4 linked regions of the Drosophila melanogaster genome follow. The protein of the gene in region 4 interacts with the protein of the main gene of each other region in a pairwise test. Each region holds a gene or a part of one and is shown on either strand. Other genes may lie near its edges.

Region 1 (7,099 bases), on a different chromosome or scaffold from region 4:
ACGATGGTTTCAATGAGAATTAAAAGAGTGCAAAGAACAGAAAATTGCATTATGCATAAGTCGCTAGAGCTTAAGCCATTATCGAATCCCTCCACGTATCCAAACATGGACAAATAAAGATACAGAGAATGCCACTAAGAGAGGGAGTGAGAGCGAGAGTCCAAAGCAATCCAAGAGATACGATTCGAATAAGAGATAGAGCGCTACTTGGCTATTGGAGCCGTATAAAACAAGTGTGTCCATATTATGCCCCATCATTGGAACATTGGAACTCCTCGGCTTGATCATGTACCTACGTCAACAACTCTGGGTTCTCTTGCTCTGGCTCTGCTTCGTCGTTCTCAGCGGTGAGTGGTGTTCTAATATCTATATCTATTATCTATATTTTTATAAACCCACATTTGTCATTTGTGAAGTGCATGGCATGCCGTGGAAATGGGGACCTGCCTCCAATTCTGGACCCCATGGCGGACCCGCCTGGAATGGCGGAGAAGAGTCCACCGACAATATAGTCATCCATTCGAAAAACAGCGGCAAGTGGCGTTACTAAATTTATCCAAGTGGCAGAGGCGTGACCACAACCAAGTCAAGCTGGATTTTACAGTAAATTTGTGAATAATTTTACAACTACTTTGCTTCGCAATTGATTTTCGTCGAACAGTACTCGATTTGTATGCTAATACTTCATTCATGGTCACACTCACTTATATATAGTCACTTTAATTGTGCACCTTTTTATCTATGACATTTAAATATAACCCTTTACTATACTGTATGTAATAGAGCCAAAATATTTAAACGAGATTAAAAGCCTAATATTGCAAATATGAATATGAAGATACAGTTTATACGGCTTTTGAAATTGTTTCCTGAATCTAACTAATATTGCAATCGAATGAACAAACCGAAATAATCTACGAAATTATAAGCTATTGATTGATATTGATTTTATTGATAAGTATGCAAACGAGCTTATGGGAATTTTTCAATTCTGATCGTCATAACAATATCAGCACGTGTTTTATAATAATTTTTTCAGAATGTTGCAAATCGCAGCGCACCCAACTTTTCAGTTTCTATGGCATATCTGCGTACTTTTGGCCTGGCTAAAAAGCGTTCTTGATTTGACACAGTTCCCCCCACTCTCTCGATCCGTCTAAATCGAGAGTGAATTGGCAAGCCGGTGACGAAGTGCCTCTGTCGCTCAACCGCAAGTAAACAAAACAAACCCGTCGGTGGCAATTCCCGGTAGACTGCACCGCTGACCTCCTCCGTCTTATCTGTTATTGCGCGAGAGTCACTGTCACTGAGAACCGATCTCATAGAGTATATAGAACGAATACGGCGCGATGAGCCGATATTTTTATGGGATAGTATAAATAGCTGGCATCGCACTTGGCATTGGCATAGTCAATGCAAAATGGGCTCGAACACTGGAGCTTGGATTCTACTGGGCCTGCTGGCCGGCATCGCCTCTCTGTCTAGCGGTGAATATATAGATATACTTTGTATGTGCAGATAGAAAAAAAATAAATTGTATTTTTATAGCTGCGAATATACAGCGAAATGAGGACCAGACGATTCTTCAGAACAATGGAAACACCTTCCTATCAAACGGAGCCGGGCAAATCATTCGTGGACCCGATGGCAAAACAGTATTGATCGGATCCGATGGGCGCAGGATCATCACGGATGCCGACTCCAGCGAAGAGGACAGCTCGCACGATTATGGTCACGGTGGGAGCTATAACAATGTTATCATCAATGGTGGCTCGGGATCCAGCGTAATTCATGGCGATGGACATAGCTTCATTGTTGGAGATGCGAGTCATGGAAGTTACATGAACAGCAATGGACGCAGTATTAGGATCATAAATGGTGCCATCGAACTCAATGATCACGGCCAGGTGTACACATTCAGGCCAAAAGCAGCAGGCATTAACGAAAAGGAAACCGTCACCATCAACGGACAACCGGCTCAGGTGGAGTACTCCAATGGTGATATAGTCATCGAACTGGCCGATCATACGGTGATTGCCAAGATAGGTGGACGCACATTTCTGGGCGATCGCGAATCCTTCGACAATCGGGATAAATTAGAGGCGGAGGCAAAGAACTATGCCGATCGTATCCAGCAAGAGGTGCACGCCAATCTCCAGAAAACCATGGCTGATATTCAAAGGGATCTTCAGAATTCCCTGGGAAATATTTTCTATTAGAAGCCAAGTAATCAATCGTACACGAGTCGCTCGAAATAAAGCGCCTTTGCAGCAATTGTCTTGACTTTAATTGTCTTATCTATGGTTTACAAGCTAAGATGTTCTAAAAGATACATATCTAGTGTGTAATCCAAGTACAACAGACCCCAGACATGAGGCGTCTTTGGGCATAATCTTCCCATTTGACCGGCCTGAGGCCACAAACGTGTGGGTGGTTAGGTCAATTAATGGGAAATGACGCCCGGCAAATGTGATTGATTAGCGGGAAACTCACCGTATAGGCAGCTTATGGGGCGGCTAAATCTAATGCTTAGTATCGCCTAACAGACTAGGTTTGTATGGGCGTGTGGCGATTGGAATACAATTACCGAGCTTGCGGCGGTGTTTATGAACACTTCTTGGTATTTAAATGACGGAATTTCCCAACGAATCTTCGTAAATAAGACCAAGGTCTCTTATTCTTTATATTTGTGTTTTCCAAGCTAACTTAATAAATTCTTAATTAATGGCCTTGATCTTTTGTCAGCCACAAATTGTCTAATTGCATTGCTGTATACATTTGCTTGTTTATGAAAAATGCTTTTAATTGAATTAGGGTGGGTCGAACGAAATTTCTGCTTATTTTGTATTTCTAAATCGAGATTTGAAATTAAATTTCCATCGATGTTAAATCTTAAATTTCTATATCAGGTTGACAGTTATATATTTAATAAACTGCTACAAATTTGTTAAGTGAGAATGCTATAGTCGACTTGGGCAAATCGATAGAAATTTACAAGACAAATAAAAATATATAAAAAGTTTTAGTTTTGGGCGGCTTGTCGGCGTAAGAGGGATCGTTCAGAATGTGTAAGGTTGATCTAGAGCTTGATTTGCAACCCATAGTCAGTACAAACCAAGTATCTTATCTGTGTCCTTGTTGTCCATTTCGAAGATTGATTCGCTGCCATTTCCCATTTTCAAATTCAATGTCAATTCTGTTAATATGAGCGGAATGAACGCAGTGGATGGATATGTGGGGTGAACTTTTTATCTTAATGACTTTATTTATAGGCTGAAACTTAAAAGCGAAAACAATGGTATTCAAGTTATGTGAAGCAAAAATATCGAACTGCGCGCGAGCAGCTAGAGATGTGTTTTTTTTTTATCGATCCGGTATTTGATTGATAAATAATCGATTGTAAGTGGACACGTGCCCAAACACGTTGCGTTTGACAACTGCTTTTCTATCCAATTAATTGCGATAAATAGACGAAACGAATTCGGACCGAAAGATAGGTCTAAATTTATAGTGTCTATTCCTGCGCTTTCTAATGTCAACCACTTGAGATATTCGGAATAAGATCACTCGTCAAGATACGAAAATGAGCTTTTTGTTGACCGAACCGCAGTGGTCCGCCTGGTACTCCGCCTTTTACGCGTCTTCGATGAATCGTCTGGCCCAGAATGTGTGCACCGCTCAAGATCCCATCACTGTATGCCTGCGATCCGAGGCGGACTTATGCTCCGTTCCGTCAGGTGTGAAAACCTGGATAGAGTTGAGCAGGCAGGGCAAGGCCACTACCGGTGGTCCGGGATGGATATGCACGGGCCTGGACCTGCTGTGCCAGGAGATGGACAGAAAGTTGCCGCTTCCACTGGACTTTGAACTCTCCGCCGCACATTTGTTTTTCTGGCACAAGTTGGAGCGATGCAACTACTTCCTGTGGACGGTCGCCGATCTTCTAATGCGTTGCGAACCGCTGGATGGGCGCTGCTTTCGGAATTTAATTAAGAACCCAGTGCCAGATGGAGGCAACTGGCAAATGTTCGTTAATCTGGTCAAAAAATACGGAGTTATGCCCAAGAAATGCTACCTCCACTCCACTCAGCGAACTACAAAAATGAACCTCATACTGAAGAGTAAGGTTGGTATTTTGTATTGTACTGAATATTATATACATATGTATATATTTCCTTCACCTAAAGCTACGTGAATATGCCAGCATGCTGCATGCTCAGTTCACCTTTAATGGGAATGGCTGCCGTCTCCCCGATCTCATTCAAGAAATGATTCCGCATCTCTTCAAAGTAATATGCATCTGCCTTGGTGAACCTCCCAAGGTTTTCACCTGGTCCTTCTACGACCACAAAAAGCGTTACCAGTGCCTGAATGATATGACAGCGGTCCATTTCTACGAAGTTATGGTAGGCTGTACGGTGAATCTAGACGCCTTTGTCTGTCTGGGTCACGATCCGCGAATCTCATCCAGCTACCATAGCAACTATCAGGTTGCCAACAGCTCGAATATGATGGGCGGAAAACCTCATAGGTATAATAACCAATCAATGGACATCATAATGCAGATCATGGTGACTTCTCTGGAAGGTGATAAACCCGTTTGGATGGCCTGCGATATTCGTAGAGCAATCAGTTTGAAGTCCGGTCCATTAAGCCTGAGATCGCATCAATTTGATTTGCTATTTGGCTTTAAAGTGGGCGAGTCGCTCACCAAAGCAGAGAGACTTGACTACAGAGCATCCCGACGGGATGCAGCCCTGCTCCTTACATCCGTTGGATTGGACACCTTGAAACAGCCCGTACAGTTTCGCTTCATAAATGCTTCTACAATTGGCGAGTCTCCCGCCACCGGAGGTCTTAATGAACACGATGTGGACGAAAAGGTTACGAAGGCATTAAGAAAGAAGTCGGTCAAACCACCGGATAACAAATTGGACGCCGAATGGTTAAGGGAGTACGCTTTTGAGATTGTAGTCCACGAAAAATTTGTCCCATCGGGTGTTTTACATGCCGCAAGGATACATAAATGGAAAGAACTGCCTGCTTGGGATCCCATGGGCGCATTACTTAATTAAAAAATTGTTTAGAACCAAAAAAAAAATCTTTCATAAGAAATACATTTACTACATTTTATTTGCCTTCTTGAATAGATAAAAACTAAATCCATTCATTCAATTCAAGAAGAAAGTTCAACAACAATGACAAATTTCAAGTATTTTTCCGAACTGTGGGCGTGGCAACGTGAAATAAACTTGCGCTGCTTAATTTCAACTTTCTAGCTTTTATAGTACCTAAGATCTATCGATCGTGATCATGAATACTTGATATGGTCGAAAACGCTTTCTTCTTCCCTTTTACCCTTTTACTCTACGTGTAACTACGAGTATAAAAACAGTCAGCACGATTGAGTTTTGTTGTTTGTTGAAAATAGTTTTAGTAAGTAGTGAACAATTGACTACACTCTCGTTTAAAGTGTCCCATTTTTGAGTTTCCTGCGAACTCTTGTGCCAGCCGCCAATCGCTTGCATAAAATTATTTAAATATCCCGCAACGTTGTGTCCTTTGTGGCAGTTGTTGTCATCGTCACCGAGGCGCGACCTTCACTAAGTTTTTCGGGAATCGCTCCTACGTGCCCGGCATGACTAATTAGGCATTAGGGAGTTCTCGACAAGAGTTGTTGGCGCGGCCAGCAAAACGGCGACTGTTTTCAACTTAAGGGATTTGCTACTCTAAGGAATTTGCCATCGCACAAAATAAAGAACAACAAAATTAATCTTTGACTTAAAGGCCAGGCGTCTTTATTTTATTAAATTCGGTTACAAATAGCTGCTTAAAATACGGTCTACCAGTAGCGTCGGCCCTGGTTGTAGTACGGATAGGGCTGTGCGTATCCGGGGTACTGTCTTGGAGCCACCTGCTCCACAATCACTGGCTGCACCACCACGGTCTTGGGCTGGAACAATTTGCTCAGGAGATGGCGTGGACCGCGTATGCTGTTAGAGACTTGGTCTGCCGACGTCGGGGGATCTGCTGCTGCGGCCAGTGGAGCAACATGCTGCATATCAGCTGGCACAAGAACATTTTTATCGTCGTTATCAGGAAATGCCAAAACCATCGCAATGGTGAGGCTGCTCAGCAGAAGAATGGCCACGAACTTCATCTCGAAAGGTGTGTGTGCGTGTTGTATGATCTGTTGGCAAATGTAAACTGATTTCCGAAGAGCACAGACTCACCTTAAATAGGAGCAATAGATGGTGCAGGTAGAACAGGTTTTCTTCTCTACCTGTCACAGGATTATGGCCCATTATCCCGAGAGCAGCTGCACAAGGTGATTAGCCCGTTGAATTTCCCAGAAAATTACCCTCTATGGTTTATGGTTAATGGCTTAAGGAAATTCGGGTGTGGTCATTTTTGGAATGCTTCAAACTACTTTTATTAGCTTCGATGTGGTTCCCAAATACATGCACAAACGCCCAACTTTATGCTTTACATTACTTTAGAGAAGGAACTGGGGTGGTGGTGGAAGGCCGTCCGGCGGTGGTGGCATTCCAGGTGGAGCCTGACGACGTTGCTGAGGATGGAGGAATAGTAATGGGTTAAGGATCACTCCACTTATTTTGAACAGCGGACTGTGCTTACTCTGAACTGCGGCGGTGGTGGAGGATCATCATTGGCCACGAGCTTGTCCTCCAATGTATCACGACGGGACTGGAAATATTTCGCAAATTATGTATTAATATATATATCAATATTAATTTGCCAATTAAAAATAAAGTAACAGAAAGGCCCTTCGATATACGGCCGCAACACAATTGCTTATATAAATGTTCTAGTTTTCTACATTTTACTAAGTTCTTACTCGGAATTTCGGAGGTGGAGGCGGTTCGTTGCCGTGAAGAAGGGCGGTTTTCATTGCGGGGACATGGCGCCTTGCCTAGAAGTAGGCATTTAACATAATTTTGCATTAGGAGTGCTAAATTGTGAATGCGCCGCCAGTGCACTGCCTCCTGGGCATCTAGTTGCTTCATCTGTTCTGGCGCCTTTAGTTTCGTTTGTAGGGCCAATAGTCTTAGCAATCACTGGCCTTCAGTTTGACCCA
Region 2 (6,640 bases), on a different chromosome or scaffold from region 4:
CAAGGAAAACTGGCAGCCCAGAGCTGATAAATTGGAAGTGCATTTGACGCTGCTGGCGGAGAAGATGTTGCTGCTGTTGCACTGCAAGAAATACCTTGTCAACTTGTACAAGGAAAATCTATTAGAATATTTCTTATGAATAGGTACTTTCTTACATCGATACCATGACAATCAATCTCTGAACCATATGAATCATCAAAACCCCCTCCATTTCTGGGCACTATTAAATATTGCTTAAATATTTATATATATATCCCCTTCAGTTTTTCGCTGTGCACTGATTTTGTTGTAGCTGCTGCTCCTAATATGGGCGATGATGTTGCATTTGCATTTGCATTTGCTGCTGCTGCTTCTGCTGCTGCTGTTCTTGTTGCAGTTGCAGTTGGCCTGGTGTCGTGTAGCCACCCATCGCCTGCTGCCCCTCCGCAGTCGGTTAATGAAACTGCCAAACGAGGCATCGCTGCCACATCCGCTGTCTCCCGAGCCGCCATCTATGTGTGTGTGTGTGTAGCTGTTGGCCAAGTGTTGCTGCTGCAGCTTCGGCCGGTGACAGGGGCAACATCATCATCACCGGCAGGCAACATCCCTGCCCACTCCGCCAGTCTCCGCCCAGCGAGCAGTCACGCTTGCTTGTCAAACACTCTGGCAGACTCTTACGATCTCCGCCGTCTTCGGATGCACCTCCTCCTCCCCCTGCTCCTCCTACGCCGCTCCGTAGCAAAATCCATTTGCATATTTGCATCCTTATGCCTGACAGTTAACGCCCCCCTCCGGACTTTCCACCTCTTGCAAGCGGCGCGCTTTTAACGACAAAGTGTGAAATTTCATTGAATTTGAGCTCGTTGACAAAAGTGGAATGGCAGCAGCAGCAGCAACAACGCAACAACTGCAGCAGCAACAACGCGCAGCAGCAACATCGCAGGTGTTGCAGCTTGTTGTTGCTGCCGCTCTTGTTGTTTGCAAATTAATTTAAATTATGGTTGCTGCGTTTTTTTTTTTCGACAAGCTTTTTATGCCATATTAGCTGAAGGCTGGGGCGAATTTTGTAATGGAGAAGGAAACCAGCTAATTTGGGAAAATCGATACTATCAATTAGTTTGCGTTATTTTGAAAACAACCACTTCATTATTGTATGCTAATATTTCGCACAGCGATTTTCAGTAGAGATTGCAGCCAGGTAGTTAAACTGAAAATTTTAATTTTAAGTCCACTCTTTAAAGAGTAAAACCTTTGGCATTTTAAAATATTAGAAATTTAATACACTTCTACGTTTTGTTGTTCAACGCGTTTGGAAAATTTGTGCGTGGCCACTTCTTGCCACCATGGAAGTAAGTACACAAATCTAGTGCTGCCGGAAAATAGTTTTGACCCATTAACCCGGGTTGCAACATTTTTTCCGCCACTTTTGCTCCACTTACCCGCAATGAGGATTTTCCGAACTTGGGCCACACGGCTTTGGCTTTAAGTAATTTTCTAATGACACCACAGAGGAAAAATGACTCTCGAGGACGACTTGGGGGCTGGCAAGTTGTCTCCATTCCCCCCCAGTTTTGCAGCTCCTGCTGGCGACGTTCATTAGATTAAAAGCAATTTACAGTAAAACTTTTTGCCACAAAACGCCTTTTGGCCCGATGTTGCTCCGCCTCCCTTCCAGCCCCCCCACAATCCAGCTGTTTCACCACACGTTCTGCAACTCACATGTGCCCAAAACGCCGTGCAAATGCTGCCACCACCAACTCCTTAAGCACTGAGAGAAAAGTTATAGTGCATAGCACAAATTATATATCTTACAAAAATACCGTTCTTGAGAGTTATGTCTACTTGCACATCATTTTGTGCATTTGATATATTTGCTTAATAATATATTTAATATTCGTATTTCCTCCGTGTAGTCATTTGGTGCTCTTTCCTCTTCTTTTGGAATTCAACAAATTTGCGGATTTGGTTTGTAATTTATTAAATTTATCGCATGCTCAGAGCGCCTTAACAGTCGTGCAACGAGGAGGAGGAAGATCCCGATGAGGATGAGGACGATAATGGGGATAAAGATGAGGATGAGGGTCACCACCCAGTGGGGCGTTTGGGAGAGAATGACCTACGCCTGCTAATGTCTGCGGTTGCGCTTTTCCGGCGGGGGAGGGGGAGGGGATGGGCAGTGAGGAGCAGATCCCCCGGACGGAGTCTCCAGGCAGTGGCATCTGCAACATTTGTTGATGACAACCCAAAGACACGGAGTGCAACATTTCGGCGAACATTTCGTTGGCCGTATTTTGTGTGCGGCACGCCCATTTGGGGAAAGTCATTGCGAGCTTAGAAGTTATTATTTTGATTTATAGGAAAAGTTCGTTTAGCGAGCGAAAGTTGCTCGTATATTTTCCGCAGTGGAGGATGGAAGAGAGGGGAGTTTGAGGAGTGAAAAAAATTAGATAGAAGCACAGCTTTTAAAGTGTGGCGAGTGCGGGGCGAAAGGCATTTGTATGTATGCAGCTCTTGTTTTCATTATTAGTGGCTAAAACTTTGAAATGTATCTGTATGTGTGCTTTTAGAACTGAAGAGGATTAGATAGAACAATCCAGCATACGGTTCGGAAAACTATTCTCACGATAAATTCCGGACTTCTTCACTGCCACAAATTCCCATTACCATAAACACTAACACTTTATACGTTTTGCACGACAGAAGTTTTACTTCCACAGAAATTTTTGCTAATGTTGCTCCAATAATTTCCAAATTTTCATACCGTTGCCAGCTTAGTCTGCAAATTGTCTGCTGTGATATTCTTCTTCGTCCAGCCACTGGAACAGGGCTTATCATTGTCGGGATCGCCTACGTTTCCTACATCCTTCTCGTTCCCCGGACACCCAGATGCGCAATACGAGTCATGGAGATCGGAGCAGTCCGTATTGCAGATATTTCGCCAGCCCTCCGAATGAATGTGGTAGAGACGCACGATTCCACCAGAATAGGCATCCTTACTGGTCGCATGGTAAATCGCTCGCCTGGCCAGGTCATAGGCCTCCTGATCGGAGAGATCATAGCGGTACCCAGTGTCCAATACGCCGAGCGCATATGGAGAACCGCTGCCCACGGAGAAGACTTGACCATGGGATCTCATGCCCTCCGAGTCCACGTAAATCAGCTTGGGTCCCTCGTCGTCGAAGCCGGCCAGCATCATGCCCATCACCAGACCCATGCCCTTGTACTCCGTGGATATGTTGCAGATGATCCGGGCAGCCGTGTCCACGGTCATGCGTTTCCGATAGCGCAGCTGGTGCAGGCGACACTCCTTAGCCAAAACCCGATCCCAGTAGACGCAATCGGCGGCTCCGCCGGCCAATGTGCCCAGCATATAGTCGTTCAGCTCGACTATTTTCCTCATCGTCTGGGATCCAATATACTGGCCAGAGGTGGCCCTAGAATCAGCACACAGAATCACTCCTCCGCGATACTTGAAACCCAGAGTGGTGGTGCCGTGATCGAAATCCATGCGAATGCCACAGTGCGACAGGATCTTGGGCAGATTTTCAGCGGGCTTGAGAAGAGTTTCAATCTTAGATGGATCTTTTGGATTATGAAACCTATACTAACTCTTTCGAAGGGAGGCGCCATCAGTTCGTAGGGATTCTCAAAATTACTGGTTGCCTCGCGAAGCTGCTCCTTCTGCCATTCGGACTGCAAGTCATCGAAGCGCCGCATAAAAGGCATTTTATTCATGCCGCAAATCGCTTCCAGAGCCATTATGTGTTCAAAAAGAGTTTATTATTTCCAATAAATAGTTTAGTGTAATGTGTAAATGAGCACACTAAACGAGCTCGAATGATTGTGGAGTTAAGTCTCTAAGGCATCTTACAAGTGTATCAAAAATGTACTTTAATCAAAACAAGATCACAAGATCAGAAAGCTGGACATCTTGTTCCCATCAAAATATCGCATTCCGCTTGAAAGTTTCGCTCCACTGGACAATCCGCAGCGGCAATTCGCAGTCTCCGATTCCATTGGCATTTCATGGTTAGTGGGTGAGAGTGGTCGCAGCGGCACTTTCGCCGGCCACCCAAGTGGAATCCAATGGACCTTCTGTGGGCAGTGGCAGTGGCAGTGGCAGTGGCGCCACCGCAGAGATACACGACATTTTAATTGGACTGCCGGGCAGGGTCATCATCGCCACCTGCCGAGATGCGAAATTGGGACCAAAACGAGTGGGGAATGGCATAGAAGGTGCTTTCGCAGTGACCACGCCCACTCGCAGGCGGTGGCAAACGGATTAGCCGCTAATTAAAGGCCAATTGGCAATGTTTGCCAAACTGTTTGAGTCCGCGGGTCGACTGGCCTGATACCCCCCGTGATATATGTCCCATCCCAGTGGCAGTCGCAGTCACTCCGGCTGCTCCCACTGCCTCCATTAGTGGACGCCATGTGTCACTGATCTAAATTTATGCAAATTGCCGAGGACTTGGCCTCCGCATTCCCCAAACCACCGAATTCCATTTCCCATTCCCCATTCCGCATCTCCCATCCGCCACATTGGCACATTTCATTTTTGCACGCGCTTTCCATTGCAGCCTGCATTCCCCCCGCCCTTCGAATGGAAAACTAAGGGGGCGGAAGCAATTCGGAGAAAGGCGGGCTGGAAAGGAAAAATCGAGGCAAAAGAAACGAGCTGGCTAAGCCCTTCATCCAAACATACCCTAACTATGAGTACATGAAACCACTCACTGTTATTTTATTGGTCACGAAGCATAATAGTTTACTGGACTATCTAAATGTTAAGTCTAAGTATTAGTATTAAGTATTATTTAAGTATCCAATTGGATACTTAAGGTTTGTCGGTATATTTTGTATATATTTATTATATAAACTTTAGATTGCTGTAGGGTATTCAGCTTATCAACAAATATGACAATTCTTTCGCAGCGCTGCAGTTGCTGGATAGTTTTGACAGCCAGCTCTGATTATTAAATCACAGGGCAGGGACAAACTGGAGCCGGGGCAGCAATCTGATATGCAAAATCTCGTCTAACCCAGACGATGCTACTCCACCAGCTCCTCCTGGCCACCATCATCCTGCATCCCGAATCCCCATTTCCCCCTCCCTGCCCTGCGCGGCATCTGTCCTGCGTTAATTACAGCCCAGTTTTGTGCACTGGCAACAACTTGTTAAAAATTTCCGCTGCCAGTTTATTAGAGGGCAACTAACTAAGGCAGCGTAGTGGAAGAATCTGGCCATTCCCTTCGCTTTTGGCCTGAAGTGGCTGGCAGATTACTCAGTCTGAACCTGTTTTAATGACTAAAATGACGCCAAGTCAAGAGCGAATAAGAGATTAGGCCAAACTTGAGCTTCCCGTCTGCGAATCGTTGCAGCGCTGGACCAAGAGCACGATTTTGTGGCATCGGATTTAGTTGAGAGCCAAAATAATAGCCTTTTATTCGGTGCATAGTTCTTAATTATTTACAATTTGAAATCACATGAGCCTTATTATACAATAGATGAACTATGCAAGATGAGCGAGTTGCTTAATAGACACTAAACATTGAATAACTTTGCTCTCAATCCACTTAGGCAACTTTGCTGAGTAATAAAAAATAAACCACCTTGTTGACAAGCTTAGGAATATTCCCCGAATCTTTTCAAAGAGTTTCTTTTTAAGCTCTCGAATTACAAAAACGAAACTCCGCCGAGAATTGTTAAAATAAAATTCAACTAAGGCGCACGTAAGCAAAAAGCGTTTTAGGGACTTTCGCCGGCGAATATTTTATTTCACTTTCGTTTTATTTACTTTTGCCGCTTAGCATTATTGTTTCAAAATCCTTCAAATCCGTTGTTTTACTGCTTATTGTTCGCCAACTCAGCCCACCAACTTTGTTGCCAGCAACTTTTAAGCTTGCTTAAGGCGCCCAACCAACCAGACTTGCCTGCTCCCAAAATGACGCAAAACTTTCCCATGACTGGGGCATCATACCCACCACCCACCAAGCCACCGATCTCAGTGAGCCACCCAACCACCGCCGTCCAATTTGTAGTTCATCATCTGTCCCGCGGACCTGTCAAAGCCCCAAAGCTGCCCAAATTGTGACAGAGCGACGGTCGGCGGCGGGGGATTCCCCGAAAGCAGTTTTGACATTTGCGTTTAATTTATTTTAATTGAAAAAGGCCCGCCAAATGGATTAGGCCGTCGTATTCACTTGCGGCCCAGACTTTTCCAAAATAATGCACATCAAAAAATCAATAGTAGCTATCATTAAGCTAGTTTCCACTCAAATCTCTTTTCGATGACCTTCAGGTTAAGTATTCACCTGAAGCATATACAATAAAACACGCTTTTCTAATTTCCATTCAATTTACATTAAATTTGTCTACGTGTGCTGCTTATGAAAAAGTTGATCCACATTGATCCGCCGACATCAAAGTCAGATACAAACCAGTGGGGCAAACTACAATACAATATTTGTACGCCAAACAAAGTGCGGGATTTTACGATGATGCATTAAATTAAAAACTTTGGCCTGAGAACAGTCCATTAGTCGGGCAAAAAGTACACGAAGTCCAATTGCAATGCTTATTTATGGGCCAGATTAAAATTTTATAAATGGAAAGTAATTCCCGAAGTGCGGCCATAAAACAAACTCCCCGGCCAACCGCTCA
Region 3 (9,104 bases), 5.8 Mb from region 4:
GTCCTGCGGCCCAGGATCGGCTGAGATCAGCGCCAGGAGCAGGCCCACCAACAGCAGGGCCATCAACTGCAGACGTAACATCCTCATCCTGACGGATCAAAGAGTATGTGTGTACCGCTCGAAAGGCCGTTCCAATCAGAACTGGCGCTGGTCAGCGCTGGAGTCGCCTGCCTGTACTCCAACGGAGTGGTGCCACGCGGGCCTGGGCGTCGCGGATTAAGTGCCCCCCCAAAGTCAACTAGTTAGACGGGTTAGCTGCGACCGTCCGCCTGGATCTCGTAATCGCAGACCCCGCCGACTGCCGGCGGTTATCAACGAGTTCAGTGCGTGGCAACAATTACTTTTGCACTACTTTTGCGCCAGTTTATAGATCGTAAGTGCAGCTCGAACTATGCATAATGCTTAGCGGCGAGTGCATTTTAAGAGGCTAAACAACACGCACCGTGGGACTAGAACTCCATATACCCACCTATATATATACCATACATACACATAGCATATACCATATAGTAGAGCTGCCTCCAACATAAGGGATTGATATACACAAGGGAACTAACTATCTGCAAGCTCATTAAGTATCTATACTATTTAGATTGTTCTGTGTCGAGTACGAATCTACATGTTTTAAAACCCTAACAAAATATCAATAATTCACAGATAAGTTTCCCATAAGATAGGGAAATCATTCATAGATTGCTTGTTTTATAATTGTAAACTCAAGTGGTTATATACCATATACAAACGTATGTATGTACATACTACCAATTTCACTTGAACTTGTGTCAAATCTCATTCCTCAAAACAGTTCAAATGTTCAACAATGAAGATTATCTGAATATTATAGGTGTATTCGATTGGGAAAGATTTTACGAACAGTGGGCGCTTACTAATTCGTTGACTAATTCGTCAAGTTTGTACCACTGTGCCGAAAAAGAGGGGCTGTCACGATTTGCTCTCATAATAATATGAATTTCAATTTCGGTTTGGCTGCGGCTGTTGCATTTGATTTTCAAGATATATTTAATCATTTCCAGAGTAATTAACAGCTTTTGGTTTTTCAAGCATTGGCGCAACTGGACAATGGTTAGCAACTCTCGTTTGCAATTCGCATTCGCATCGGAATTGGGTGAAAAACCAGTTTAGACCTTCGATTTTCCGAAAGTTTTGACCAAAGTTTTGACACTTGCTGCCTGAGTTCTGCATGTAAATTAGATTTTGACTGCTGTACCGGTTGTTCAGGTCTTTTCAAATAGGCAACTATGCATAATCTAATTTAAGTCATAGTTACTTATATACATATATAAAAGTACCATTCAAAACACTAACTTTCGCGTTGGCAATGCTGGGTATCTGATAGTCGGTTCGGTTGCATTTGGCGTTCCTTCTCGCTGTAACCTTGATGTATTGCTGTTGCATAACCAAAAAATGCGAATCTGGTCCAAAATTCATACGAAAACCAGTCGGTGCCACACCCCTCCACTTTTGGCTGGGAACCTAGACGAAAGTGAAAACTCGTTCGAATTTCCATTTTCCAGCAAAAGCTGGGAAAACCTGGAAAACACAGGATATCGAGAAATAAGTATTGCATGTCAAAATCAAAAACTGGACAAATCTCTGTCCCGAAAAATGTCGGAATTGCAGACACAAAAAAAAAAAAAAACGACAGACAACTGAGCAACAATTTGCTGAACATTTCGTTTGAATACCATTAGTCATGTTGTATGGAAAGCCAAATCGCCTTTTAATCAGCAGCTAAGTTAAGTTAAGTATTCTCGGGAAATTCGACAAGGTAGAGATGCTACCGAAACAGCCAAATCCAGCGGCTTATCTTTCCGGGTATTCATCCGAATCGCAATAGTATTAGCCACGTTAAGAGTTCGCTGCCCTGATTACCAAGGGTAGCTATGCCTCCGATTATTGGTAACTATTCTATTGTCGGAGGCGCAGATAATGAGATAATGAATTCTCGATTTCGAATGGGAAATGCACAGCAGGATTTGCCTGTGTATAAATGGGCCAGGGAAGGGTGATTCGCTAAACAGTCGTAAACTAGGAGCTCCAGGCGAAAGATGATCAAGCTATTGGCTATATTGCTTGCCATGGGAATGGCGATGGTCCAAGGAGCGCTGCCGACCCAACTATCAAATAATCAATGGACACAACACGATGTGTCCTCCATGGCGGATTACGAACGGCTCCTGGATCTGCGCTCCCTGGCAATGGAGTTCTATCGCGAATTTCGGAACATTTCAACGGCGGATGTGCATCTTCTGGGTGAGCGGATTGGATCACAAGATCTACAGTGCCTGGCCGATATGGCCCAGTTTATGAGTGCGCTTAGTGCGCCCAAGGCGTGGGCCCTAAAAAGTGGGTATTACAACATCTTCAACTTTGATGCCATTTGAGTTTATCCCTTCTATGCGAAGTGCTCGACGCGTGGGGCACCATTCCATCGGGATATCTCATTGGCAACCGCGTCGACATGGGCAACTACAGGGAGTGCCTGTCCGAGGGCGGAATGCTCACCTCATCGCAGGACATCCAGGGAAAGTACTGCTTCATGGAGCTGCCGGTTGCCAAGTGGTTGGGTTTCACTTCTGAGCTGCTGGCGGTGACCAACATAAGGACTGCTGTGTGCCTGCCTTCCTCTTGCTCGGCGGGCACCATGGAGCTGTTCCTCAAGCAACTGCTCAAGCGGCTGCTTGGCGTCAGTGATCCGACCAATTTGTTTTCCATCAGCGAGACGTCGTGCAGAATCAAGGAGAAAGCACCCTGGGATGGGCTCACCATATTCACAGTGTGAGTAGTGTCTTGATACATCCTAGCTGATCTATCCATACTAACTGACTACCATCAGCGTTCTACTGTCCGTATTTGGTGTCACGGTTATCCTGTGCACCCTCTACGACTACTTCTTGTGTCCGGAGCAGGGTAAGTAGCTGACATAAATCGGATAACAGCCTATATGTATGTATATGTACCATATATCCATGTCTACCCGCAGAAAAGCTACCCCGTCCCATCGGCGCCTTCTCAGCCCGTGCCACTTCGCGTTCGCTGTTCACCATTGTGGAGAACACGGCGAATCCGAATGTAATCCACTGTCTCAATGGCATGCGGTGCATGTCCCTGATCTGGGTAATCTTGAGCCATGAGTACATTATCAACATGAAGGGTCCCGCCATCAATCCAGCGGACAACCTGCGATGGGCGACGCAACTCTTCTCGAGCTTCATACTCTACGGTACCTTGTCGGTGGACACGTTCTTCTTCATCAGCGGCTTGCTGCTGGTTTCAATTGGCCTGCGAAGCATAGAAAAGTGAGTCAACTTGTACAGGGATTAATCCGATCTGTAGGCAGGCTAACATTCTCAATGGCTCCAGAAACAAGGGAAAGCTAAATGTGCCGCTGATGTATCTGCACCGATATCTGCGCCTCACTCCGATCGTAGCCGTTGCCATACTGGCATTCTACAAGATGATACCCCTCATCGCAGACGGCCCAATGTACGATGATATCGGCTTTTTCGACTACTCCGGGTGCAAGATGACCTGGTACTGGACTCTGCTCTACGTGCAGAACTACGCAACATCCGATGTGGTGAGTTGAATGTCCAAGTTGATCAGGAGAGGTGGACAAGCCCATCTAGTCCGTCCGTATCAGGATGGATCTGTATCAACCTTATATACCTTAGAAGTTACAATAATTAAAAGTGTTTAGTGGCTTTACTGCGAATAGGAGATCACTTCGATAGATGGCGCCTGCAGCACTAGAATTGATCGTTGGCGCCATCTATGTAAGTTCGGTGGTACCATTGCCATTGCAGTTGGAGCTCTTGACTATATCTGTATATTTATCTATCTAATTATTTGATTGTTGGTTGCTCCTTAGTGCGTGCCGCATACCTGGTACTTGGCGGTGGACATGCAACTGTACATCCTGTCCCCGATCCTGCTGATCGCCCTCTACAAGTGGGGCAAGAAGGCGGCCGGAGGTATCCTGGTGGTCACTTTGTTGCTCTCCGCCTGCCTGTTTGCCACCATAATGGTGAATGACTTCCCTGTGATGTTCAAGTAAGCCAGTCGCGCCCGCCGTTTTGTGTCCCCCAATGCTAATTGCAATTACTAACAGGAATGGAATTCAGGCTCAGGTGGTTCAGAGGAAGATCTACACCGCTACGCATACCCATGCGGCGCCCTGGTTGGTCGGTACTATGTTCGGTTATCTCCTGCACCTGATGCGCGGCCGAAGATTCAAGTTAAGCCTCCTGGCTACCTGGGCAGGCTGGCTGCTCTGCCTGGCCCCGCTCTTCACCTCGATCTTCGCCTTGTATCCGTACTCCAAGCTGCTGGGCAAATCGCCCTCAGTGTTGCAGGGAGCCCTCTACTATACACTGGTCCGGATCGCCTGGCCCCTCGGTCTCTGCTGGGTGGTCTTTGCGTGCATGCAGGGCTATGGTAGTCTGGCCAACAGCTTCCTCTCCTCTCCACTTTGGCAGCCGTTGTCCAAGCTCTCCTACGGCGCCTACATCTGGCACATCTTTGTCGTGGAAGTCGCCAATAGAAGCGTTCAGACCAATACGTACTTCTCCAACTATCAAGTGGTAAGTGTGTGGCAGGCAGGGTCACTCGACATTCCTATTGGACTTGAACGCTTCATTTCCAACTCCATAGATGCTCAACTTTTGGTCCACCTTTGGCTTTACCCTGCTGATGTCCTACGTGCTCTACGTTTTAATTGAGGCGCCTCTGGAGGCCTTGGAAAGAATTATGTTTCCCAATCGCAGAAGCCCGCCAGCAGCAAAGGATCAGCTGCATATCGAGTCCCGAACGGAAGTCGTGGACCAGATGGACCAGATGGATCACATGGACGGGATGGATCAGGTGGTGCAGCACGAGAAGCGCAGTGATATCCAGCCTGACCTGGAAACGAGTGCCAACAAAACAGAGACTGACCTCGAGTTATCAAATTAGACTTATCAGCTCCTATTTAGCCTTTATTAAAACGAACTACTTGTAATCTAGGCACAATTAACTTAACCACGGGTCTAGAGTTACGATGGAATGAATGGTCCTTGAGTTGAAAAGTCTTGCACTTAAGACGATATCAGTCGTTATCTGGTTGCGACTTTTGCGACCAGGTGGGTTTCGAATTAGTCATGAAGGTGATTCCCGACTTTGGCTTGCTGTAATGGGCACACAAAGATTTCAATTCTGACTCACAGAGGCGATGCACGCCCCATTCAGTTACAGAAAAAAAGAAAAGAAACACAAAAAAAAAACAGAAGGAACGACTTTGTCTAGTGTCTCGACTATCAGATATGTATGCACCAAAGCGTTTACAAGTTTTTCAGTTTGATAAGAGCCAAATCTGTTGATAATTTACATTCCATAGATTACGTATTTGTATTTGTATACTTGACTTCCCCACTTTGCTGACCATGTGTCTTGACTTTCATCTGCGTAGTGACGAAATGCTATGTTTATAGTCAGGAAATTGGAGAATTTGCTCTGATAAAACGATAAAATCAATCGATTGACAAACCAATCGAAACGTATTTATTAACATTTTAAACTTGTATTTTGGATGCTTAAAGTGGGCGGGGCCAACATGTTGTGGGCAGATCGACAGAAATGGGCAAGCCAAATAATAAAAGTAGGCGTATCTGCGTTCATATGGATGGACATGGAAGTATCGACTCGTCCAGTGATTCTGATCAAGAATATCGGAATCGCTTACCGTACAATGAATTTCGAACACAGTTTTAATACTTTACGTAACGCATGAAATCATATATTTTAAATGTAATTATACTAAAACGTTGCTCTTTTCGGGAGCAGCCTGAATAACTTCGTCGGGTATCGTGGATATCGCTTCCGCAGGCTTACCTACTGGAGATTCTTCGACTGATGCCTTCACCTCCGACATCCTGGGCTCCACCACCGCGGCCGGCTTGGCATTTGGCCTCTTTGCGGGCAGCAAAAGGCTTTCCAGACCGGCGAATGGCGCTTCGATTAGGATATGCATGAGGTACGAGAACAGAATCGTAAAGCCAAAGTCCGTCCAGAATCGAAGCATCTGGAGATAGGGGGATTCTTAGAATGGTCAACTCCGCGTACAAGGGAACATGGTACCTACCACTTGATAGTCACTAAAGTAGGTACTTGTGTGCGTGATTCCACCGTTCAAGCTCTCGATGAACATGTGAAAGATGTAGGCGGAATAGGATAGCCTGGACAGCGGCTGCCACAGGGGAGAGGATAGCAAGCTGTTGGCCAGTCCTCCGTAACCGTGCATGCAGGCGAAAACCACCCAGCAGAGACCAAGGGGCCAGGCGATCCTGGTTAGGCTTACGTAGAAGGCCTCCTCCACAATGGGCAACGTGTTCTGACCATAGATCGAAAACAGGCAGCTGGCTATCAGTGACAACGCAATCAGCCATCCCAGGAGGACAGCCAGGCGGTTCAGCTTGAAATCCTTGCCCCGGTTGGTATGAAGAAAGTAGCCGAACAGTATGCCAATCAGGTAGGGAGAAGCACGAGTCTGTGTGGCATAGTAGAGCTTCCTCATCGAATCACCGCCGCTTCCTCTGCAAATAAGAGAATTGTTCTGAATATCTTACATATAAGTATCCCTAACATCCACTTACAGCGATAAATCATTGATGACCATGATGCTAAAAAGACAGCCGGCCAGCAGGAGCATCAGAACAAAGATTCCGGCAGCCGCCTTCTTGCCCCACTTGTACAGGCAGATCAGGAGGAATGGTGCAAAGATGTACAGCTGCATGTCCACCGCCAGGTACCAGGAATGACTTAGGCACTGCGAGAAACCGTGGGTGATATAAGGTGATACAAAATGTCGTCATCGAAGGACCCTACCAGGCTATCAGTCGCATAGTTCTGCACATAGAGTAGTGTCCAGTACCAGGTGCTCTCACATGCTGAGTAGTCATCAAAGCTTATTGATCCTTTAAGTGGCCCGCTTTCCCACAGCGGCAGGATCTTCATGTAGAAGAGTATGGCAATGGCCAGGATGGGCGTGAGTCGCAGATACCGATGCAAATACATTAGGGGTATATTCAGCTTTCCCTTGGTTCTGGACGGAGTAACAACACAATGTAAGTGAGTAATTGAGTAATTCAAATGATATCCCTATCATTCAAGTCACAACTCACCTATCCATTGATCGCAGGGCAATCACCACGAGCAACAGACCGCTCAGGAAGAAAAATGAGTCCACCGCATAGACCGCATGTTTTACAAACAGACTGTAGAATGAGTTGATCCACTAAATAATGGGTAATTATATAGAACTTTTACGTTTTTCTTTTACTCGCCCAACTTACCGTCAGAAGGTAACCCATATTAATGTTGGGCGACGTGGCAAGCACCATATAGTCATGACCGTAGACCACCCAGATGAAGGAAAGGCATCGGATCCCATGAAGACAATCGATGACGTTGGGATTCGCCTTGGTGTCCACAATGCGGAATAGGGCACGCGAGTTAGCTCGTGCCGAGAAGGCTTCTACCACTGGATGGATGGTTTCTACAAGCACGGACGATTACTACGGATTCAAGGATCGCATTCGCGAAGAACTCACTCTCATCTTTGCAAAAGAAATAATCGAAAATAGTGCAGACGCCCACTATAGCACCCAAGATCGAAACGATCACTCTGAAAGTTTACGTGTTAACCAAATCTTAGACCATCGTCGCATCCATCATCTCTTTATGATTATGATCTCTACTTACATGGTGAATATGGCGAGGCCATCGTACGGTTTCTTCACTGCGGTCTGGCATGTCTCCTCGGCGACGATCTGCACATCTGCATCAATCTCCACGGTGAGCAGCTTCTGGAAGAGCCTTCGGAGCATCGTATCCATGTTAGCGGCGGAACAGGTGGCCGGAAAGCAGACAGCTGACTTGAGAGCTAATATGGGCAGCAGACTTGGAGCTGGTGTCAGTTTGGTGATGCAGTACTTGCCCTTGATACTGTGACTGCTGGTCACAGCATGGTCAATTGCAATGCACTCGTCGAAGTTGCCCAAGTTCCACCAGTTGCCCGCCAGCATTCCCGAAGGCAGCAGGCCCCAGGAGTCAATCACTGCAACGGAATCGAAACGAAACTGAGGTACAGAGAGCACCTTGGGTACGCAAGCCTCACTACTCACTCTTCAGGGCCCAGAATTTAAAGGACGATAGGTCCTTGGACAGGAGCGCTAGATCCGCTAGGCACTCGAGATCCTGCAACGAGGGTATCCTCGAGTTCGAGTTCGCCGTGAGATCCTCTAGAGTTACATTGGCGTAGTGCTCAAAGAACTCCACTGACAAGCGTCTGGTGTTGAAAATACTCGAATAATGATCCCCACCAGCAATGTGCTCAGTGAGCAGTTTCGTATTGGTCATGGCAAATATGTTGGTCATCTGTGCATTAACACTTTTGGCCAAAGCCAAAAGGCCCAATCCCAGGATAAACGCCAACCTAACCATGTTGCTCTGTCTGGTGGCGAAATGAATTTGATCGGATTGCCAACGCGCCTGGGGGCTTATATTCGCGGCACTTCATGGTCCGTCATTCTGCGATTAATCCATAACCATAACCATGGAACGCAAAGTGTTTTAAAATACGCCCCACACGTTCAGCGCTGATAATCAATTCTTATCTATAGTCTCCTTTTGGTGTTAACTTATGGTGCTGATTTATTTAAGTATAATCTACACATGCCTGTCACTAACTTGAATCAATTTTAGAAGATATAAAAGTAAAGTATTAAAGTAATTACAACCGGAATAATTGAGAAAACTTCTTGATTTCGAGACGAAATCGATCTCAATGTTGATATTTGCAGGCACATGATTCGATCTTGGCTAGATTTTGAGATCGAAGCTATCAAAGATTATCATTCCAGTTACGCATTGTAAATCCTAAGGACTGTTAATCGTTTTATTGTTTGACCATCTTGATTAACCACACAAAAAACACTTTGCATAAACTTTGCACAATTCATTGTTAAGATATAAGGATTTATGAAAAAAAATTCCTTGAAATTCTAACCTATTGTATATTCGGTTCAGGATCAGCGACTCCAAGAATA
Region 4 (7,730 bases):
GAATTTTGTTGTTTGTGGATAGCTATCATTTACGCGATTTCTACTAATTGTTGTTGATTGCGTTTTTAGAACGAAACCATAATTATCAACTTAAACTTGCAAATTACATTGTATAGCTAAACTTTTAGCAAAACTTAGCGACTAAATTGTCTTTTGGCCACTCGAAATTCAAACACGTTCAAGGAAATAAAGCACAGCTGTCATTACAAATGGACTTTCCCTCTAACTTTAGTGTACCAAGTACATTGGGTTAATGGCTCTATAAGAACATTTTTCATTCAGCGTTTAATGTGCCCATAAAAGTTAAGCTATGCTGTAATTTAAGCAGAATTAATTCAGTTTCTTAGCGTCTGGAAAACCGCGAAGCTATTTCATTGATCGACTTCAAAATTTAAAACCTATTACTAAGTGCTCTAAAAACTAGGCACCATTTAGGAGCCAACATGTTTGCCATTTATCTGATAGACTTGAGTGTTTCCTTTAGATTAAGGGGAACTCCGATTCAGGATGCTGCTAATTATTAAGGAAGCTACTGGATTCGCTTAATCTCGTTTTCATCGTCGTCGTTAGCCGAGTACCGAGTAACGGTATCGGATGGTATCGAGTACCGGTACCGAATGCCGAGCACCGTTAGGCAGCTGCTTTTAATGAGCCTGAACTTTCACACCGCTGCAGCAGAATGTAAAACTATTATGCACACTGCAAAAAACAAGCGCTGGTCATTCGCTACAATTACTAAAAAAAAAATAATACTATTTCCTTGAGAATAGCATTTTAATAAATTAGAAATTGGATCTGTGAAATAAGAAATGAACTATTAACCAAAAGCTATGTTTAAGAGCATTTTAGAAAACTTGAGAGAAATGCTCGATCGATTTGCAACTTTGTATTGATCAAATGGCACTATAGAGACCAATTCTACCTTTACATTTCTTTCTGTGTAGCGCCGACGGCCTTGGCGGCTAATTACCGGCGACCGGTAATGCGGTCGCTGCGCCGTCGACCCTGCGTGGGCGGCGCAGCCTTAATCCCGCTCGAACGGATTAAGTCGATGATGCTGGTATGGAATGGAATGGCTTCGGCTGCAGGTGAATCGATAAATGGAAATCGCTACTCCTCTCGCTCCCTCTCTCTCTCTCTCTGTCACTCTCTCTCTTTCTCCCACCCTATCTCCGCTACTCTTTGGCTTCTTCTTTCTTTTGCTTTCTGTTTACACTTATTTACCATTCAGTTTTTGCTGCTTTTCCGCTTTACACACAAACACACACATACACACATAGACGCGGTTATGTAGAACAACCACTAAAGCACCGTTAGTCTAACAGCATCCAAAGATATTCGAATTGTCTTGCCGCTACCGCTGCCGGCGTCGCAGTCGCTGTCTGCTTCGACGTCGGCGTCCTCATGTTGTTGTTCTTGTACTTCTTGTACACTGCTGCTTCCTCTTCCTTCCTTAGCTTTTTCCCCATGGAATTTGCACACACGACTTTGTGTTTACGTTCTTGTGCCGCGATTTAAGTACTGTTATAACTTTTGCCTGTCATCACTAGTTTGCTTTTTTTGTCTTGTTTATTTTTGTGTATTTTGCATAAATTCCCGGCTAACAATTATATATTTTCGTTTGTTTTATTTATGCACCGCGCAGTGCTTATTGTTGTTGCCGTTTCTTGCGGGAGAGATGCGACGCGCACGCAGCGTCGTCAATGGAGAAAAATAAAAGAGAAAGCGCCCGCTCAGCTCAGCCAGTCTCCGTTGACCGCGCGGTTGGCGAGCTTTCTTGCAACTGACTTTCGAGTTTGAACGCGAAACTTTCGATTTCCATTTCCCGATGGCGAAGGACGATAGCCATCATACGATAACGATAGCCCAATGGAAAGCAGCTGTCGGAAATGCAATGGATCCACTGAACAAATTTTGGAACAGCTGTGGCGCTACATTCGAATTGAACAAAATATACTTTAAAATTAAAAATAAAAACGATTGTGCAAAGTCAAAACGTCCCTTTTGATGCTATGCGGGCATTTTTGCACGGATCAAAGCTGTAGTTTTGGTGTAAGCTAAAAAAACAATTGGTTTAAGAGGCAGTCATTTGATTGTCTTAGGCATATAAAAACTATTTAACTGTACTTCTAAATATTTATTTATCCTTACTTTACATCTAATAGATATGTATGAAATTATTAATTTCAATGATTTTATAACAAAGGTATTTATAATGAAATAAGGGGCAAGTTAATTTAATTTCCTAACACTACGAATTAATCAGTGAACAAGATTAATCTTATTTAACTACTTAAAGCTATGACACAGAGGCATATCACACACGTCTAGACATAGGGATTCCAATTGCTGCCGTCCTCGGGCAGCAAATTGTTGGTGATCAGGAGGATGACGTCGATGATCCACCAAACGCCCACGCCGCCCATGGTAAGCAGTTTGCCCACAGCCGTGCCCGTTTGACCGAGACAGAAGCGATCCATACCGAGGAAACCCAGCAGCATGCTGTAGATCAGTGTGGTCACAAAGTAGTGATCCGTGTAGCGGACACAGGGCACTCCGGCGCGCAGAAAGGTGCGATTACCGTAGCACTCGATGTCGGCAAACACGGTGCACCAGACCATGGCGTGCTCCACCTCTTCGTACGTGGAACCACCGAACTTCAGGCATCCGTATTTCTTTTCCTGCTGCGCCGTGGCGTTCTCCCGATGATCGACGGGATCCTTGCAATCGAGAAAGTCGCGCGGCAGAAACGAGCACATCACATTCGGTCCCAGTGGATAGAAGGCCGAGTTTCCAGCTCCGCCCGAGGCGGAAGATGCCGAAGATGACGATGAGGAGGGTCCCATGCCGGAGCCCAGTTGCGCCTGAACGGGCACCACCGATTGCACCGCCGTGCCGGAGACCACAGTCTGCGGCTGCTCCTTGTCGCTGCGTGCCTGTATCGCTTGGGCATCGTGTTGTCTGGCCACCAGGAACGCCAGTAGTCCGTAGAAAATCCGCATCTTTGCGAGCTCCTTATCAAAATATAGCTAGCCAGTGTGGCCACACCTTAGCACAGCTAACAGAGCTCTGTTATCTGCGATGGCCTACCGATAGTTCTGATTTTAAGCACCACGACAACGAATGGAAATAAATAAATGCAAATAAACCACCTTTCAAGTAACAGTGCTCCTTAGCATATTTATTGGCATTAGTGTGATCGTAGTCTTTAGTTAAGTACATTTAGTGAAGTGCTATTTAGTATAATGCGTTTATTTATTTCAGACTAGTTACCAATCACGCGCCCATCTCTACATTCGATAGGCAACGGCCCTGTTGCATTGGTGTGCACACACTGGCCGCGTAATCAGCGGGCGCGAACCATTTTTTTTTTTTTTTGTGCGACAGAACAAAAACAAGAGAATAATAGACGCTTAAAGAGCATTACCCGTCCGAATTTCACGGGCAGTACGAAAACAAGAACGGAGCAGAGAGCCCGCTTAATACGACGCGTCATTTTCCACCATTTTACTGCTGTGATTTGTTTGAATTTTGCTGTGTCAGCGCATTGGAAATTCGTTGGACAAGAATAATGAATCTATTGCTCCTGGTGGCCACCGCGGCCTCCGTGGCGGCACTCACGTCCGGTGAGCCGTCACTGCTCTCGGATGAGTTCATCGAGGTGGTGCGCAGTAAGGCCAAAACCTGGACGGTAAATTCCTTTGTTTCCAACCCTTTTCTTGCTGACGTGACAAGAAAATTGCATTTTCCCGTTTCCTATCCGCCAGGTGGGTCGCAATTTCGATGCATCCGTAACGGAGGGACATATTCGCCGCCTGATGGGCGTCCATCCGGATGCGCACAAGTTCGCACTGCCCGACAAGCGTGAAGTTCTTGGCGATCTATACGTGAATAGCGTTGACGAACTTCCCGAAGAGTTCGATTCCCGCAAGCAATGGCCAAACTGCCCAACCATTGGCGAGATTCGCGACCAGGGTTCATGCGGCTCCTGCTGGGCCTTTGGTGCCGTGGAAGCCATGTCCGATCGCGTACGTAGCTTACCTTATCGATATTATAACCCCTTCCATTCTTTGTTTGTCCAGCTGATAAATTTCCCCATTTTTTTTTATTATTATTTTCTTTTTGTATTTGTTATCAATGATTTTTTTTTTTTTACTGATTTCGCAATGGGCAGGTGTGCATCCATTCCGGCGGCAAGGTGAATTTCCACTTTTCGGCCGATGATCTCGTCTCCTGCTGCCACACCTGCGGATTTGGCTGCAATGGCGGTTTCCCCGGCGCCGCCTGGAGCTACTGGACGCGCAAGGGAATCGTCAGCGGAGGACCCTACGGATCTAATCAGGTTGGTGATCTTCTCCTGCTTTAATGGGATTTTGCAAATCATATTTAGTTTGGTTTAAAAGGGCTTGCAATTTGGTTTTGCTTGCAGATGAGTTTCCAATAAAAAAAAGGGTTTGTTTTCTAACGAAGAAAAACATACTTTATGTGCAAAAATAACCTGTATTTGTACATATTGTATTTCTACGCCGAAATAGTTAGAAAGCAACTTGATTTTGTTCTTTGTTTACTTGAAGTGAACTGAAGACTCAGTTTACGACGCCATAAAAAATTGTATACCACAGATATCGCTAGAAAGCGGCTTAGTATATCATATACAAACATCCATATACACAAAGCTATATGTATATATATCATATACGAACATCTATAGATATACATGCATATATTGTGAATGCACTCCAGATTCGCGTACATCCTCAACGATAAGTTTTAGCTGCTACTAACTCATTTCCCAGATATAGTAAGGCAAACAGAAGAAAAAACGATTCTAATATGCACTTATTTTGCAGGGCTGCCGTCCTTACGAGATTTCTCCCTGTGAGCACCATGTGAATGGAACCCGACCACCATGTGCCCATGGCGGTAGAACGCCCAAGTGTTCGCACGTCTGCCAGAGCGGTTACACCGTCGATTATGCCAAGGACAAGCACTTCGGCTCCAAGTCGTACTCGGTGAGGCGTAATGTGCGTGAAATTCAGGAGGAGATCATGACCAATGGACCGGTTGAGGGCGCCTTCACCGTTTATGAGGATCTCATTCTGTACAAGGACGGTGTCTATCAGCACGAGCATGGCAAGGAGCTGGGCGGTCATGCCATTCGCATTTTGGGCTGGGGCGTTTGGGGCGAGGAGAAGATTCCGTACTGGCTAATTGGTAACTCGTGGAACACCGATTGGGGCGATCATGGTTTCTTCCGCATCCTGCGTGGCCAGGATCATTGCGGCATCGAGAGCTCCATTTCGGCGGGTCTGCCCAAGCTGTAAATGTTATATGTATTCCGGCATCAAGCTGATATATCAAAACCCCTCTATTTTCTATCATCCCTCCTTTTATTTTCATTCCGATTCGCAACTGACGTTTGTAGTTAATGTAAACAACCTAAACCTGATTGATAATAAAGTATTGTATATGACTGTGGAACTGTACTTTGCTCGTATACAGTGGGACCTCTCTAACTAGAAACAAGGCAAACAAAAAAAAGAAAATGATTATCAAACTGGAACTCAGATATAATTAAAAGCGAATAATACTATTTGTGAAACAATGCTATAACTATCCAACTATAAACTATTGTTTAGCGTAGCTATGCCTTTTTTATTTAATAGTAGAGATTAATAGTAGAGAGTATCTGATCCTCTATACTATGTACACACATTTAAATGGAACGCCGTCAATCGTTCAATCGTTAAACTGGCTAGCTGTATGTTTTGCGAGTTATAAATGTGATTAGCATCGCATTTGATTAATCAAACAAAGAGTACAGCTTGCAATCGCATTCGTCATTTGGTGCGATTTTGTTGAGTTAATTTATTATTACATTAGTTAGCTTGGCCATACATACATACATACATACATATATGTACATACATATGTAAAACTTATCTCGTTGAAGCTGCCCACAATTTGCAGCACCAAATGTCCATTCAAATTGTACACATATTTATTCACATAACATGTTTTATTTATTTTTCTCATTTGCAACATCAAATAGAACATTTGTTTTGTATTTTCAGTTTTTTTTTTGTTATCTTGTCATGAACCAACCGCTTCTCTTATCGATTTTCTGTGAATTGATTGACTGGTTTTGTAGCCACTCTTCTATTCACCGAAACTCGATATTTTTCTAACAAACAGCTTACATCGAAAAATATTTGTTACTGCCACATTTCAATTGGTTTACTCTTGTTATTTGTCATATTTCAATTTCAACTGTTGGCTTAAAAATCTCTTAATTTTGGGTAGGTTTACATTATATATCTATATATATATATATCCATTTTCGTGGAATCAGCTCAGCTTAATTTGTTTTGGTTTGTAATTCTTGCTTTGCTTTTATTTTTAGGATTTTGTAAATAGATTGCATTTGGCTTGCTCCTCATCTTTTTTATTTGTTTTGTTCATCGGTTTGTAGATTTTTTTTGTCAATAAATAATTTCATAGTTTGTTCGCTCTTCTTAGAATTTTTTACATACTGAATGCGTGTATTCGTTATTCCTGGACTTTTGCACTTAAGACTCGTAATTAAAATACATAACCATATGTATGTATTTTCTTATGTACGTTAATATTGTTTTCAATGTTTTATTCTTTGATTATTATTTTCTGCATTAGTCATCGTCGTTTTGTATTTCGGGGTTTTTAGCTTATCATCTAAATGGTGGGTTCTCAAAATATCAATGCAATTTCGCTCGACGCTTTATTGGCTTTGGGGATTTCTTATTGCGATAAAGGAGTGAAAAGGTCTAGTTACATAGATGTCTATAAATTGCAAAGATAAATCAAGATATGAAATATTAGAAACACTTAGAGCAAGCACTAAAATGCCATTGTGTGTGAAATTTGAATACGTTTTAGTTTTCCAGTTCTATTTCCGCAGCATATTTCTGCTTTAGGTGGGGAGTTTATATTAAACACAACACGAAACTAACAGATAATTCCAATTTTCGAAACAAATAACGATTATCTCTCGCAAAACTAAAAGTGATATGGAGCAGTTTGAAACACATAAGATAAGCTCAATTTTGCTATTCTGAGAAGTTGAACGCATTATTCATTTACAATTAGATCTAAGTTGGAAAGGAAAGTCGGCGTGGACTTATAGAAAATGTATAGCAAAAATGCCCTTAATGTACCAGCTACGTAGACAGACATAAACCCTTTTTGACCTCTATGAGTATCTGGTGTGTTATTTAATAGGAGACTTGCGTCTAAATATCGTTTTACCTCATCCTTAAATCTTGAACTACTCACTTATATAGGATAAACATTTCATAGGTCGAGATTCATCTTAAACTCTATAAGATCTTCCATCAGTTTAAAGTTTAATACTTGCTACAAAGGATAATTAAAATTGAAATACAGCTAAAAATCGACTGAAGTGGAGAATAGAGGAACGTATAGCCGGACAATACTTTAATCGGAACACTTTTTCAGTTAGCAAGCTTCAAAAAGACCTTAATTGGTAGTTGCGCTATATAAATATACAGTATATGCTTTAGGTATATATATATATATATTACTCGACTCTCATTACAACTATCGGTTTAAACTCTTTAACTTGCATTTACTTTTCAGTTTAGGAAGTATCTTAATCGCTTAACTCAACTAACTTTGGCTTAGGTAAACCTAAACGGATCGAACAGATTACAGCTGACATATACATATATATA

What was found.
Region 1: the proteins of CtsB (region 4) and CG13423 interact in a two-hybrid assay, tested with the Drosophila melanogaster proteins (one large-scale study listed by BioGRID).
Region 2: the proteins of CtsB (region 4) and Prosbeta5R1 interact in a two-hybrid assay, tested with the Drosophila melanogaster proteins (one large-scale study listed by BioGRID).
Region 3: the proteins of CtsB (region 4) and CG14204 interact in a two-hybrid assay, tested with the Drosophila melanogaster proteins (one large-scale study listed by BioGRID).

What each region holds. Positions count from the first base shown.
Region 1 is NT_033778.4:20,533,106-20,540,204, forward strand, and holds CG13423 (uncharacterized protein), read left to right. Parts: upstream 1-3,472; 5' UTR 3,473-3,583; coding exon 3,584-4,126; intron 4,127-4,187; coding exon 4,188-5,075; 3' UTR 5,076-5,159; downstream 5,160-7,099. Other genes in the region: CG30154 (uncharacterized protein), read left to right, coding at 287-347, 417-550; Bbd (bombardier), read left to right, coding at 1,421-1,487, 1,549-2,219; CG13427 (uncharacterized protein), read right to left, coding at 5,843-6,160; CG13428 (uncharacterized protein), read right to left, coding at 6,497-6,571, 6,640-6,708, 6,860-6,934.
Region 2 is NT_033778.4:23,305,991-23,312,630, forward strand, and holds Prosbeta5R1 (proteasome beta5 subunit-related 1), read right to left. Parts: upstream 3,827-6,640; 5' UTR 3,739-3,826; coding exon 3,589-3,738; intron 3,533-3,588; coding exon 2,735-3,532; 3' UTR 2,664-2,734; downstream 1-2,663.
Region 3 is NC_004354.4:19,581,573-19,590,676, forward strand, and holds CG14204 (uncharacterized protein), read left to right. Parts: upstream 1-2,044; 5' UTR 2,045-2,069; coding exon 2,070-2,367; intron 2,368-2,426; coding exon 2,427-2,799; intron 2,800-2,857; coding exon 2,858-2,931; intron 2,932-3,004; coding exon 3,005-3,320; intron 3,321-3,384; coding exon 3,385-3,601; intron 3,602-3,892; coding exon 3,893-4,074; intron 4,075-4,132; coding exon 4,133-4,604; intron 4,605-4,674; coding exon 4,675-4,974; 3' UTR 4,975-5,485; downstream 5,486-9,104. Other genes in the region: CG14218 (uncharacterized protein), read right to left, coding at 1-87; CG14219 (uncharacterized protein), read right to left, coding at 5,810-6,079, 6,140-6,590, 6,651-6,823, 6,883-7,099, 7,179-7,291, 7,350-7,552, 7,608-7,681, 7,759-8,113 and 1 more.
Region 4 is NC_004354.4:13,777,771-13,785,500, reverse strand, and holds CtsB (cathepsin B), read left to right. Parts: upstream 1-3,330; 5' UTR 3,331-3,571; coding exon 3,572-3,691; intron 3,692-3,767; coding exon 3,768-4,028; intron 4,029-4,174; coding exon 4,175-4,342; intron 4,343-4,850; coding exon 4,851-5,324; 3' UTR 5,325-5,654; downstream 5,655-7,730. Other genes in the region: amrt (amaretto), read right to left, coding at 2,328-3,002.